2 linked regions of the Rhinolophus ferrumequinum genome follow. The main gene of each other region encodes a partner of the protein of the gene in region 2 in a complex. Links are inferred from orthologs where the notes say so. Each region holds a gene or a part of one and is shown on either strand. Other genes may lie near its edges.

Region 1 (7,583 bases), on a different chromosome or scaffold from region 2:
AAAGCAAAAGGGTTCTAATTTCTCCACAACTTCACCAACACTTATTATTTTCTGGGTTTTTTTTGTTTTTGTTTTTTTGAATAATAGCCATCCTAAAGGGTATGAAGTGGTATCTCACTATGCTTTTGATTTGCATTTCCCTAATGATTACTGATATTGATCATCTTTTCATTTGTTTATTGGCCACTATATATCTTCTTTGGAGAATCAACCAACTTACTTATCCCAGGCACTGTGTTAACGTTCTGAAATTAAATATTGAACAAGATTAGATATAGTTGCTACCCCCAAAGAGCTTAGCATATTGCACATTCGTATAGTGAGTATTGTATTTTGTGGATGCCATCTTTCTATGACAGTAAATGTGGTAATAAATAGGCAAAGAAGAATTTTTCTGTTTCTGAGTCCATAATAATTTGATTAGGAATCCCCTTAATGTAGATTTTAATAACACAATGATAACCATATCCACAAATTAATAACTCAGAGGCATCATGATGTAGTGCTTAAGAACCTGGTCTTTGGAGCCAGGCTGTCTGGGTTTGAATCCCTGAGTTGCCTCTTACTTGCTTGAAATCTTAGGCAGATTTCAATACCTCTCTATGCCTCAGTTTTCATACCTATAACGCAGCGATAATAATTGTGAGGATTAAATAAGTTATGACATGTACATCACATGTGCCAAGTACATAACAAGTATTCAATATATGTAAGCAATAGTTTTATTATTGGGACAGCTCTACCCAGCTAGCAAGTGATACTCCCATTAAAACTGGCATTTTGAGCAGTGCTTTTTGGCACAGTTTTAGAAAAGCTGAAGGTCTAGTTATTCTATAACAGCAAACAATACCTTGAAGTTATTGATATCATTTGGTGTAACCTAGTTATATGAACAGGCATTCTCTACGTTAGAGTTACTGAAGTCAAAACAGAAAATATAAAGCCAGATCTGTGGCAAAGTCATTCTACTATTAAATTCAATGTTGGTGATTTAGTTTCAGCAAAACAACAGTATATGTCACATTATATCACTGGTTCTCAATCAGGGCCAATTTTGCCCCCCAAAGGAAATTTCGTAATGGCTGGAGATATTTTTGGTTGCCACAACTCGGGGTATTACTGGCCTCCTGTGAGCAGAGGCCTTGGATTTTACTAAACATCCTACAATGCACAGGAGAGCCCTCCACAACAGAGAATTATCCTGTCCAAAATGTCAATAGTGCCAGTGTTAATGTGAATTGGTAAATTTGGTAGTTTTGCTTACTTTGTAAAAATATTTGGTTTTATAGCTGTTCAAGAGAGCAATATGCTTGAGTTTATACTTAGCGTAATATGTATACATATTCAATATGACAATAAAATGATTTTTATCAACATTGGGCATTCATGACAATTTTCCCCTTTATTCAATGTGAAAACCACTGCTCTGCAGAAAGTATGCAGTATTTACTGGTTTTGGTGGCCTTTTTTTACACAAATATCTACTCTGTGGCACAAACTGTGCCAGGTGCTTCTGGTACATCCATGAAGACCACTGTGGTCTTTGCCTCCATGGGCAATCTGTGCAAGAAAAAGACTAGGAAGAGGTGACAACAATAAATAATATGACTTGTGGTTAAGTCCTCTAAGGGAAAAAAACAAGTTGCTGTGATAGAAAATAATGGCATAGGGGAGGAGGATACTGAAAGAGATGGTCAGAGAAAGTTTTTCTGAGGTGACTTTAAAGCTGAGACCCTGAGGAAAACATCTGATGGAAACTTTTTTATAAGAAAGGAAGGCAGCTATCTTTTCTATATTGTTATCTCTTTTTACTTCAGATCATAAAGCACACACAAATACTTCCTGAACATTTTCCTCCTATATGCCTGGCATTGTGCTAGTTTTACAGGGGAAAATAAATAACAATAGGAATCTGTTTGGTTTATAGGTTTTATAGACTAAAAATATAATTTTTCTGCTCTTCCCCAGCCTATTCTGCCAAGTCTCATATGAATAGGCATGACTGTCATTAGACAGAGCTAGTTACAACTCTTGCCATTATCAGGACTAACCACCAACCATAAAAGTTCTCTGAGCTTCAGTTTGCTCATTTGTAAACTAGGGCTAACAATACCTAGTTACTAACTTATCCAGAGGATTAGATAACATTACTGGAGGCAGAAGTACAAGAGTAGTTCAGATACTGGCGCCTGACAGACCTGGGTTCAAGGCCAAGCTTGCTCATTACTATCTGTGTGGAGTTAGGTGGTTATGAAGAGTAAATGAGATAATGCATCTAGTACACAGCCCTTCCTCCTCATGCATTCCTGGTTACAGGAAGGCCCCCTTCCAAGTTCTCCTATTGCACAAATTTCCTGAGAAATGATCATGAGGGAAATTTCCTGAGAAATGATCATTCATTTTTTTTCATGCAACAAAATTGGCTGAACCTTTATTGTGTGTTATCCTCTGGTCTAGCTTTCAAAACTCAATTTAAAACAGTGCAAGCGAGAAAATGGGAGAAAGTGCCTCCTTCACTTTTACATCCAGTTGCCCAGCAACTCGCTCAAACACCTCAACTTGAAGCGGGATTCGGGGCTCCCTCTCTCCCTCCCCGAAGGCGGGGTCATTCTGGGTCTGCCCTCCGTTTCCCAGCCTAAGCCCAGCCCTCTCAAGGTGTTACGTCAGCCGTAGGCCCCTCGGGGCACTGCCCTCCAGTACCTGAGCAGGGCCATTCCCCCCGCCCCTCGGCCCTGCAAGGCCCGCCCCCTCAGTCCCTCAGAATTCCCCCACGTTTTGGCTCAGGTCTACCCATTCAGCTCCCGTCAGTTTCCGCGTTCTGAGCCGGACAGACCTGAAGGCCGCTCCGCTTGTTCCAGGTGAAAATGGACCCTGGGTACCCGCTCAGAGCCAAGAGCAGTTCGTGGATCATTCCCACGCCGGATCTCAAGTCCCTATATACGTCGCTCCCTCCTCCAGCGCCTCTCCAGGCGACCGCAGAGTCGAATGCTCCCTTCTGGAAACGTGCACAGGCTTTTGGGACCTACGGTTCCTCCTGAATCTACCCGCCGCGACTGCTGCGGGAGGAGCGCACAGGGAGCGGGAAAGGGGTCCACGCGCCGCGTCCGGAAGTGCGCCGGCTCTGCTGGGTTCCCCGTTAGCTCCAGCCCCGGCTCCGCCGGAGAGTCCTGGTAGCTGCCTTTGCGCATGCGCCCTCAGCGCCTGAGTCACCCACTCGGACTTCCGGTTTTGGAGCTGGACTAGGAGGCTGGATTGCCGGGCCTGGGGCCGACCCCGGGTGGGTGAGGCTGGCCCGCGGACATAGATGCGAGTGGGTTGAGGGACAGCCCTAGAGGGAGACACTCCCGGGGATGGACCGGAAGGTGCTCTCAGAGCCTTAGCCGGGTTGGGGGCCTCTGGAGGGGACTGCACGACGGCTCTGAGAGTGACCTGGCCGGAGGGAGCGAAGACAAAGAGGCCGGAACCCCGCACCAGCCGCTCCTAGAGCTGAACTCCGCGCCCGCTAACCTCGCAGCACTCGGATCTTCCGGCCGGCACCCGAGCTCGTCCTCAGGAGACCCATTACTACTACCCCCTCAGAATCCTCCTCTCCACCAACTCAGTGCGACTCTCCCCAAGCCCACCCGGCCCTCGCGTCAGAAGCCAAAACCAACTTCTCCCAATGCGCGAGGTCTCCCGTCAGTAGTTCCCGAATGTTTTGCTGAGCGGTTACTTCTGCTGTGAGGGAAAACAAAGACCCGAGATTCAGTACTTGATTTTTGTCTGGGGTGGGTATTGCCAGTTGTGGTGTCCAAGGGGGCAGGGCGGACGTAGAGGGCCTCGGGAAGCACTGCGGAGGTACTGGGTGAGGTCACCTGCGACCCGCGGGACACAGGCTTTTTGTTGCCTTGAACACGATGGTGACTTGCCTTTAGATCCTCTGAGCTCCAGGTTTCCCATATGGTTCAAACTCATTGTGCAACATTGGTTAAGGGAGCTAAGTGGGATCAGATTTGGGGGAGGTGGAAGAGGAGCAGACAACTCTTTGCTGCTTCCCCGGGCTCCCCTGGGAAGTCGCCCAGAAATGCAGCTTTTGAAAGGTTTCTCTCCATGCTGTTTTGGCTTGCTGTCCTGGAGTTGATGATGCCTCAGATGGCCACATGGAGCATATATATGGAAAGTCGGGCCAGCTCTGGCAAGACTTTAGACATATGAGTATATTCCTTCTGATAGTGCCCTCTCTCTCTACCCTAGGAGGCCACTCTTCTTAAAGAGAGAGAGACTCATCTGCAGGTAATTCTCCAAAGACATGGGAAGATAGGTGTAAGCCCTGGAACCCAGACCCTTAAGTGGAGGGAAGCTGCTTTCTGCTGTGAATGATGGCCAAACCCACTCTGAGAGGAAATGGCACTAACTCGGAGACCTACCGACAGCGCTTCAGGAAATTTCATTACCAGGAGGTAGCTGGGCCCCGTGAGGCTTTCAGCCAACTCTGGGAACTTTGCTGTCGGTGGCTAAGGCCGGAGGTGCGCACCAAGGAGCAGATTATAGAATTGTTGGTGCTAGAGCAATTCCTGACCATCTTACCTGGGGAAATCCAGAAGTGGGTACAGGAGCAATGTCCAGAAAGTGGAGAAGAGGCTGTGGCTCTGGTGGAAGATTTAGAAAGAGAGCCTGGAAGACCTGGACGTTCGGTGAGAAGGGAGGGGGAATTCAGAAGTGTGTGAACTGGGCTGGGGCAAGGATAAAAGGCCAAATTAAGGTATAGACAGGTTTAAAGAGGGGCATAATCTCCCGTGGTGATGCTTATACTTCTGATCCTGGAACAGGTAACTTTTTCAGACACAGATCATCTAGAGAGGCTACTTGGGTGTACCTTTGGTACCCTGTCATAATGAATTATTCATAGTTTCATAGTTTTTTACTTAATAAGGAAGAAAGTGGACTTATTTTTCTAGCCTATAGTTGGGTTTACTGTTTTGATCTTTTCCTTCCGGAATTCCGGCTGCTCTAAGCTAACAGTAACAGAATAAGAATGACCCTTGTTCACTATTAACACCCCTCACCCAACCCTAGCCATGTCCCAAGAGGATGGTCTCTTTTGGGGTATTAAATAATCTCCTCTGGGAATGCCCCTCATTATGACCTTGCAGTGACAATTAATGGGGGTTGTTTCTAGGTCACAGTCTCTGTGAAGGGGCAGGAAGTGCGCTTGGAGAAGATGACACCCCTGAAATCATCACGAGAGTTATTAAGTGTTCGGCAGGAGTCAGTGGAACCTCAGCCCAGGGGTGTACCCAAGAAAGAGAGGGCAAGAAGCCCAGACCTGGGACCGCAGGAGCAGATGAACCCAAAGGAGAAGCTCAGACCTTTGCAAAGGAGCGGTGAGGAGTAGATTCATATGGGAAGATAGGATGCCATTCTAAGTTGGGAAGTAGGGTTGGGAATAGTGAGTGGGAAAGGGATTTCAAGAATGAGTGAAAATTGTAGAGTATGCAGTTTTTGGGGACCTCCTGAAGGCATGTAGTTTAGCTCTGCTGCAGTAAGTATTCTTGTTATTTCCTCTTTTGATAAGTCTGCCAGAGGATGGTTCCCTAGTTTCTTTCAGAACTCGGAACTATTTTATTTCCTCTTGGTAATGATACTAGGTCAGTATTTTCTAGGTAAAAATTATTTTCTATATTTGAAGGTACATCTTTTAGTCATTTTCCTTCTCCAAAATAAACTGTATTTGTTTCTTTAAACTTTTCGCCAGAAGCTCCATTATTCAGACATACTGTTTTTGTTACTCTCCCTTGGAAACTTTTAAGTTCTCCAAATATGTTAATTGTGGAGAACTAAATTAGATATATTATTCCAGTGAGGGTCTGGTAGGTTGAGGCAGAGTAAGAATTTTACTTCAAAATTTCACTGTATTTTCTTTCCGAGTAGCTCGACTAATTCTTTGATGATTATTGTTCACCTGGTAACTCCCAGGACTCTCGTAGCCGTCCCCATTGTCTTTGTGCCTAGCGCCTATTCTTGTACATGACTGCGTAGAGCTTGTTTTTCTTCTTTGTACTCTGTTGAACTCCAAATTGTAAGTTTTTTACTTTGATCATTTCTTTAACTTATTGAGGTTGTTCTGAATTCTGACCTTATCGGCCAAAACGCCAGCCTTTTCAGCCAGTTTGGTAATGGTCTGTTTAGTCATTCAGATGCATTCCCTCAACCACACACACACAGACTTGCAGAATTAATCAGTTTTTGAACACCTATCATGTGCTCAACACCTTGCAGGGTATTCTGCAATAAGAAAAGATGCCTATCCTCAGAGAGCTTACAATATGATTGAGAACTAAACAGCAAATATAAATATGTGCTGAACTGAACTGTACTGAAACAATGTCAAACAATGGTTTGTCACTCAATTGTGTGAGTATAACAGAGTGGGAGATAAGGGAGGGCTGTAGGAAGGCTTCAAGGGGGCTTTGGCAAATACAGCTTCTTGAAGTGGGTTAAATTGGGATAGGGGAAGATTCTGATATGAATGGACAGTGCATAGTGGGCACTCAGGTTAAGGTCCAGCAGTATAGTACGTATGTGAGCTGAGGAAGCAAGAGCCTGGAGTTTGGTAGAACAGTGACCGTTATCTGGGTGTGAGAAGGTAAGACTTGGATGGTGGCAGTAGGAATACGGAAAGGGCATACTAAGGGAAAAACCTTTAGAACTTAGTGACTGAGTGTGAAGGAAACAGATGGGCTGAAGACCATCTTCCTTCTGTTCCCCTTGAAATCACTATGAGTTTAGTTCTCTAGCCCCAAGTGGAGAACTACAGGAGACAGGAGGTGGCTGTTCCCAGCAGGGCTAGGACCTGCCTACAGGAGGCCAGGAGGGCTAGGGAGCACCTTGGAACAGAATTACCTGCTCTGAACATACCAACAAAACCTTTTCCTCTCTTGCTACCCTGCTTTGGAAAATAAAATAGTTCTCATTTTTTGGTTTCATGTATTTTTCCCTTTCTTCAACCCACTGAACTTTCTGAAAATATTTCCTTAGACACTTTCTTTATAAGTCTCTTGGGTAAAAAAAGGCAGGTCTGAACTCAAAGATGTTTTTTATGGTCAGTCCAAACTATGATATCCTTTGTTTGCTTCCCTGCAAGCAGGATTTCCATTTCCTAAATCCGGTGTGGTCTCCAGGTTGGAGCGAGGAGAGTCTTGGATCCCAGATGTAGGCTCCAAGGAAAAGGAACTGCCAAGAGGCAGTCACACAGGAGACAGACGAATGCATGCTGATCTGTTACCATCCAGGAGAGAGAGAAGCTGGGTGGAACAGGATCCCTGGGGCTTTGAGGATGAGAAGGTGGCCGGTGTGCACTGGGGCTATGAAGAGACCAGAACTCTCCTTGCAATTCTCAGTCAGAATGAATTTTATGAGGCTCTCCGAAACTGTCATCGAAACAGCCAAGTATATGGGGCTGTAGCTGAGCGGCTGCGGGAGTATGGCTTCCTCCGGACCCTGGAACAGTGTCGGACCAAGTTCAAAGGTCTCCAGAAGAGCTATCGGAAAGTCAAGAGTGGCCATCCACCAGAGACCTGCCCTTTCTTTGAAGAGATGGAAGC
Region 2 (7,023 bases):
AAGCACCATTATAGTTAGGTGCTTTGCTTCTGACAGTCCCATTGAAAAATTTCAACTGTAAAATATTTTTTAAAAATACTTTATGAAAAATTGATTCACAGAAAATTCACATTAAGAGATTAAAAGTAACAAGTATCTATTATGCCTCGATTTCATAATACAAAAAAGCAATAAAATTGCAAAAGCGTAAGGCCAATTGTTTGTAACATGTCATTAGAAAATGAAGTAATTAAATGTTCTACTTAGTTATCATATAAAATACCCATTAATAAAATTTTTTTTTAAATGTCAAACACTAACGGCAGCAATGGATACTGTTCCTTCGCTCATGAAGGTAGAACAAATTAAAACAGAACAAGGCAAGCTATGACTTATAAATTCTTCAGTAAACAGTAGCATAATTTGGAATTATGAACATAATTGTTTGTTAGTCCTAACTGTCCAGAACAGAGCAAAAAGAGCATGACCTTTAATGGATTTTATGATATATTTTATTCAGAGAGATCCCCTCAGGATCTCAGAGCACCTATTTACTCTTAACTTAGACATAATTCTAAATAGGGGTAGGAGGGTACAGAACTCTGCTGAAGAGAATGTTTGAACCTCCTAGAAGGGGTGAAACTAAGTAAATCAAAAGGAGCTTAAAATTAAAACACACACAGACACACACACACACACACACACACACACACACACACTTCATTGAGAAACATCACAATGAATGGTCTTCAAAGTCCAGGTGTGACAATGGGAATGGATGTGTGGTTTATTCCTGGAGGAAAATTTAGAACCCACTGGTACAATGAAAACCCTGATCTGAATGTAATTGTGCCATGCTCTTCCAGGAACGGTGTCTACAGGCATTCAGAATGGTCCAGAGTCTGACATACCGTCAGAGGCTGTCCTGCAATACAGCCTCTAACAAAACTGGGCTGTCTAGAACTCCTGGTAACAGAATTGTTTACCTTTATACCAAGAAGGTTGGGAAAGCACCAAAATCTGCATGTGGCTTGTGCCCAGACCGACCTCGTGGCGTTGGTGCTGTTGGAACTAAAGTTCTAATAAGGTTGTCTACAATGAAAAAACATGTCAGCAGGGCCTATGATGAATCCATGTGTGCTAAATGTGTCCATGACAGGATCAAGTGTGCTTTCCTTATTGAGGAGCAGAAAATCGTCGTGAAAGCATTGAAGGCACAAGCACAAAGTTAGAAAGCTAAATAAATAAATCTTTTTTAATAAAAACAATTAAAAGACTTTCAAAAAAGGATGTATAATCAACAATCTTAGCTCTCTGATTTCTCCCATGGTTAAGAACATCAAATCAGAAAGGTAATTCAGAGGGCTACAGATAACACATACAGAAGAGCCAGACACAAAGACAGATGACAGCATGCCACGTCCATGCCCACCTTAAGGTCATTGTACCCTCTCCAATGTTCCCTCACTCCATTACAGTCTGTTTACATTATCTCCTCAAAGGCTTTCCCTTACCTCTTCCCTCAATATCCCTTTAAGGTTACTTTCTTTTTAATCACAGCACTTATCACTAACATTAAACATTCACCTACTTTATCACGTCTCCTCCATTAGAATATAAGATTAGAGGAATGATTTGTCTGTGTATCTCTCCATCACCAGCGCCTAGCATAGTGCCTGGAGGGGAGGTGAAGGTGAGAGTGTCCAAAGATTTGTTAGATGAATAAAGTGACAGCGAAACCTCATAAAATGTAGCAAGAACTGTGTGAAACCAGTTCATTTAATGGAGTACCAAAAAATTCATCTTTTCTCCTAAGGTTATCACAACATCAAATAAATTAGACACGCTAATTGTCATGAGTTATGAAAGGTCAAAATACAGCCTAAATGTTTTAAATGTAATTTTGTTTAAAGTGTTCCCGTAAAACTGCACTTCTTTTCCACATTGTGGTCCTCAAGGAATAAGTAATCCAGTTGCTTCAATTACCCAGAAAATTCTTTCACGGTGCATCCCCATTCCCCCTTCTCCCGCCAAAGCAAGTATCAAGAAACGACACGGAGTGCCATTTTTCAAAAGTACCACAACAACGGAATGGCTTTACATACTGCACAGGATTGGGTTTTGGTAGCAGTATTCGATATGTGAACTCTCCAGTAATAGCTTTATACCAAATCCAACCCTCAGCTCTTTACAGCAGAAAAATATGGCAAGTTCAAGTCTTAAATACCCCTTCGCATCATATGCAAATCTGCTATACTTTCCTAACGGAAAAAGGAAAATGATGTGGCTCGCCACCACCTGGCGTCTCCCTCCGCAGCATCACCCTCAGTATATTGCCTGGGGACCAGTCCACCGCTCTCTCCACCCAAATAAGCGCGGAAGCCTCCTGCGGAGTCCTGTGACTTTAGGGAAGGTGGACGCGTTCGCGAGCTGATGTCCTCCCGGGCTTCACTTTCGGAACCGGAGCGCGGAGGGAGCGGTGACTCAGCTCCAGGTCCTGCCCTCCTTCCTCCGCCCTGAGGGACCCCGACCCTCCCATCCCTCCACTCCACAGGCTGCAGCACGCCGTTGGCCGGCGGTTCCACTACCGCCGGCCTGCAGAACCCGGGGACCACCCTGCCTCGGCCCCGCCAGTCCCTTGGACCCCTCCGCGCTGCACGCGCAGACAGCAGCCTCCAGGACACGCCTCGGATCTCGAGCTGCCCGGCCTAACCCCGCTACCTTCGCTCTTGCCCAGGATCCGGCAGCACAGGTTCTGCAGCAAGACGTTCGGCGACTTCTGGTCGGGGGTCGTCATCCTCTCCCGGGACTGCCCACGGGGACCCCGTGGAGCCGCGGGCCCTAGCCCGATCGCCCCGAGCCTGGCGCGCTCAGGAGACCCCGCCGTGCCCGTCACCCGCTCCGCGCCCTGCGGGCTCCCGGTGTCCCCAATAGGCTAAGGCCCCGCGGGCATCACTGATGACAAGGGCGCCATTTTAACGGAACCCGCCGAAACTGCGGGTCCTTCCCACAATGCCCCGCTTCTTCCGGGCGCTCGGAGCCTCCCGTGCGCTGGCCTAAGAGTTCCCGGCGCGTTCGCGCGCGTTCCCCCGATCACCGCCGCCAGGCCCTGAGAGTTCCGGCACCAAGCGCATGAGCCGCTCTCTGCACGGATTGTTCGCGGTACTCAGATGCCCCCACACCTGCCCAAGGGTCAGGAAGACGCAGACCCCCAAACGTCCCCGAGGGTCGGACAGCCACTGACTTGCTGTGAAAGTGCTTGGTGTCCAGTAGCACCTTTATAGTCCGTCATTTTTTTAGAAAGTCATTGGTTCGAGTCACATTTTCAGTGGAAGAAGTCTTTAAAGGAATACAAGGGCTTTGTGATTTTTAACATTTGGTTGAGCACCGATACCTGCTACATTATCTAGTTTTTCATAAGAGCAGTGTGTGGCTTCTTACTATCCCCTAGCCCTATACCTCTCTCTCCTTATCTCAGATAACTATGGTCATCACTCAGATAAAGAGTAAAAGAGGGGAAAGGCCTGGAGAGAAACAAACAGGTAATTACAAATCGTTTTAAAGAGAATTAACGGCCGCTTACAGGTTAGTGCAGGAGGAGAACTGCCCAATCTGGGAACAAATGACCCAATCCACACATCAATTGGTCTAGGTGTAGGATCCTGGCAGCCAGCCAGGAGCTGTACAGGCCACACAGCTACAGTCAAACCTTTCTTTGGTTCCAACCTCTTCTCTACAACTCCCATCACAGATCTTACTCGAATATGGGCAATAGTAACAACTGCTGTATCTTCAGCCCTATGAAAAGTAGCCACTTTCTGCACTTGCTAATCTCAGTTCTTCACATCTGTTTCAACCGCCTATGTAACTAATTCCCTGTATTAAATCCCCTATGTTGAAATTGTTAGAGTCGTTTCTGTTTTGCAGGTTGGTCCCTCCTATACAGTCCTTGGTAATAGGAGTGATCCCAGGGAACAGATCCTCAGACAGGAATCCAAGATTGGGTTGTTCACATGTCTGAACTCAAATACATTGGGGTCTTTTTGAAGATGGAATCCATGGCATGTTGGAGCACCAAAATAGCTTATATTATCATGTGTGGCTGCTTGGAAGAAAGCACTGGCAGATAGCAAGACCTTGGGAAATTAAGTAGCTGCTACAGTCAGATAGTTTGGCAGTAATGATGACTCCAGATACTATAGGGTAGGATGGACTGTACTGGAGTACATTCAGAAAGCTCAGGTCTTTACATTTCTTGTTCAAGTTACAGCCACAGAACTGCAGAGCTCCCATAGCAGCCCTAAAAGAAATCTCTTATTTTCATAACTGCAGAGTAGTCAGAACTGAGGTCCAGACTCTAAACCTAATTGTTCAAGATGTAAATAATGATGCAAGATGAACACACAGTCCTGCCAAAGTCTCTTATGTTAAGAGTGAGTCATTAATTGAGAAGTGGGATCCTGAGATTTCATTTGGAGACATTTGGGTAAAACATGAAATTCCAAGTCACCTGAACCTTCTTAAACAGAGTACAGAACCTCTCCTTCTCTGTATGCAAAAATTGGCCTTTCCTTGATTTCCCAAAGCAATCACAATGGCTATTTTCCTCAGCAAATAAAGCAGAATTCCAAAGGATGAAAATAATCCAGAAGAAGTGATAAAAGTGAACTGACATCTTGGCATGCTTAACCATGGAGCTGGGAGGACTGTGGGTGGAGTTGGGCCCCTTGTCAACTCTCTAGCACTGACTTCCTGTTGAACTTTGTGGTAACTTCAGGGGGAGGGATGCTAATAAATAGAATAGCCATCTTGGAACCGGGCTCATTATTTTTCCTTCTTCAGGTAGGTAGCAGGTTGGAGGCCTGTGCTGGAGGTGTGAGTTCCCACACTGTGGTGGTGGTTTTTGTTTCTTTTTCCTTTTCCCGTATAAACCGTTTTTCTTGTGGATTTATCTGGAGAGTTATTTTTGCCAGTGGACAGAAGCAATGAAAGATAGAGAAAACAAAAATCAAGGAAGACAACCGAAAACAAACTTTTTCAATGACACATATCCAACCACATTAAGAACTACAACAAATGTTAGTAGATGAAACATTCTAATTAAAAGGCAAAGATAATCAGAATAAGTTTAAGAAAAAGCAGGCCCTATTTACAGGTTGTATATGAGACATTTTAATATAAACATATAAATAGATTGAAAGTAAATGGATCTGGAGAAAAGAGATGCCATGAAAACAATGAGTATAATAAGGCTGGAGTCACTACATTAGCATTAGATAGAATGGACTTCAAGACAATGAGTATTGCCAGAGATAAAGAAGGATATTTCATAATGATAAGAGGGTCAGCTCATTAGGAAGACACAACAATTGTAAATGTGTGTGTGCCTAATGACAGAGCTTCTAAACACATGAAGCTGGAGGGACTTCTAAAGATGGTGGGTGAAGATGTAAGCAACTCCTCTCCAGAAGAAAACAAACAAAAAAACTATAAAACTGGACAAATTTGTCAAAATGAACCAAGTCAGGGAACTGGAAATCAACCAAAGATAAACCACAAATTGAGACACATTATTTTTGAAAAAAATGATCAAGCCTCCAGTGAGAACAAAGGGTGTGTGTGGTCTTCTTGGCAGGACTGCTCCAGTCCCCACTCCACAGCTTGATCAGAGAAAACAGCAGGATTCCCAGGATAGGACTGGCTGCCCAACCCATTGGCTTTGCCCCCCAGAAAGGGCAGGTTCTATGTGGGGCAAGAGGTAAAAAGTCGTGGGTCACCATTTAAGGGGGGCTTGTTAGGAAATGAATAGAGTGACACTCAGTAGGCCAAGGTTGGCGTTCCGACTTTGTGCAAGTGGCAGACTAGCCAGGATTTTAATGCTGTGAAGGTTAGTTTTGTGTGTCACCTTGGTTGTGCCACAGTACCGTGTTTCCCCAAAAATAAAACCTAGCCAGACAATCAGCTCTAATGCGTCTTTTGTAGCAAAAATTAATATAAGACCCAGTCTTATGTTAGATAAGATCCGGTCTTATAGTAAAATAAGACCGGGTCTTATATTAATGTTTGCTCCAAAAGACACATTAGAGCTGATTGTCTGGCTAGGTCTTATTTTGGGGGAAACACGGTACCCAGAGGTGTGGACAAACATTGTTCTAGGCATTTCTGTGAGGGTGTTTTTAGATAAGATTAACATTTAAATCAGTAGACTTTGAGTAAAGTAGAATACCCTCTCTTCTGTGGGTGGGCCTCATTCAATCAGAAGAAAGCCTGAATAGAACAAAAAGACCGACCTCCCCCAAGCAAGAAGGAATTCTGCCAGCTGATGGCCTTCATATTTGAACTGCAACATTGGCTCTTCCCTGGGTCTCCAGCTGCCAACATAGCCTGCAGATTGGGGATCTACCAGCCCCCACAGCCGTAAGCTGAGTTCTTACATCAGTCTCGTTCTCTTACCAGATAAGTGGTGGATAGAGAGACAAATGAGAGAGAAGGAGAGGGCTACACATATAGATGGATATCCTGTTGATTCTGTTTCACTAGAGAAACCTGACTAATACAAATGGAGAGAGACAACAAATGGAGAGAGCAAACAAACGGCTGAGATCAAATACCTGCAGGAAAGCATGTGGGAAAGACTTGGTGGAGACTTGAGAGATCCTAGTGAAGCAGTGAAGTCCAAGGGAGACAATGAGAACTTTTTGAGAATATTTCCAACCCACATAGGAATCCATCTGCAGAGGATGAAAATCTTATAAATCGTTGCTTGAGCACTATGTTATGCAGACATAGGACGAGGGTTTCCAGGTGGGAATTCCCACCCGTTCTCAGGAGTTTTTTTCACTTTCCCGTTCCCAGATCCCAAGGAAAGTTGGTCAGGAAATTGGGAAAATCAGCTCCTTGAACCCAGTAATACCCACAATGGGAAATAAACGTACTACTCACAATGTATCTCTTAGACACTTTTCCTATTTATTGCTAGGGTTTCCAGGCAGGAATTCCTGCCCATTCTTGGGAATTTTTTTCGCTTTTCCATTCCTGAATTCC

The links. The genes of interacting proteins can lie anywhere in the genome.
Region 1: the proteins of TUBGCP3 (region 2) and TUBGCP4 are in contact, whole or in part, in a cryo-EM structure (PDB 7QJ0), measured with the Homo sapiens proteins. The link is inferred for Rhinolophus ferrumequinum from reciprocal best matches to the Homo sapiens genes TUBGCP3 and TUBGCP4. Residues at the interface, in NP_006313.1 of Homo sapiens: Arg252, Asp253, Tyr256, Gln259, Ile261, Asp262, Lys264, Arg305, Ser312, Leu313, Arg315, Leu319, Gln322, Ser323, Cys325, Ala326, His329, Arg333, Tyr336, Arg337, Ser340, His343, Ser344, His424, Pro425, Tyr593, His595; in NP_001273343.1 of Homo sapiens: His35, Pro36, Ser37, Glu38, Ser40, Val41, Arg44, His116, Leu117, Ser118, Ser120, His121, Tyr124, Phe125, Asp127, Gln128, Leu131, Pro134, Lys159, His160, Cys162, Gly163, Gly164, Leu165, Pro166, Arg169, Leu630, Ser631.

What each region holds. Positions count from the first base shown.
Region 1 is NC_046289.1:62,429,664-62,437,246, forward strand, and holds the start of TUBGCP4 (gamma-tubulin complex component 4), read right to left. Parts: upstream 3,131-7,583; 5' UTR 2,912-3,130; coding exon 2,834-2,911; intron 1-2,833. Other genes in the region: ZSCAN29 (zinc finger and SCAN domain-containing protein 29), read left to right, coding at 4,356-4,673, 5,159-5,363, 7,124-7,583. UniProt on the Homo sapiens protein: Component of the gamma-tubulin ring complex (gTuRC) which mediates microtubule nucleation.
Region 2 is NC_046287.1:55,254,533-55,261,555, forward strand, and holds the start of TUBGCP3 (gamma-tubulin complex component 3), read right to left. Parts: upstream 3,007-7,023; 5' UTR 2,777-3,006; coding exon 2,701-2,776; intron 1,212-2,700; coding exon of another isoform or gene 870-1,211; intron 1-869. Other genes in the region: 60S ribosomal protein L34-like, read left to right, coding at 870-1,211. UniProt on the Homo sapiens protein: Component of the gamma-tubulin ring complex (gTuRC) which mediates microtubule nucleation.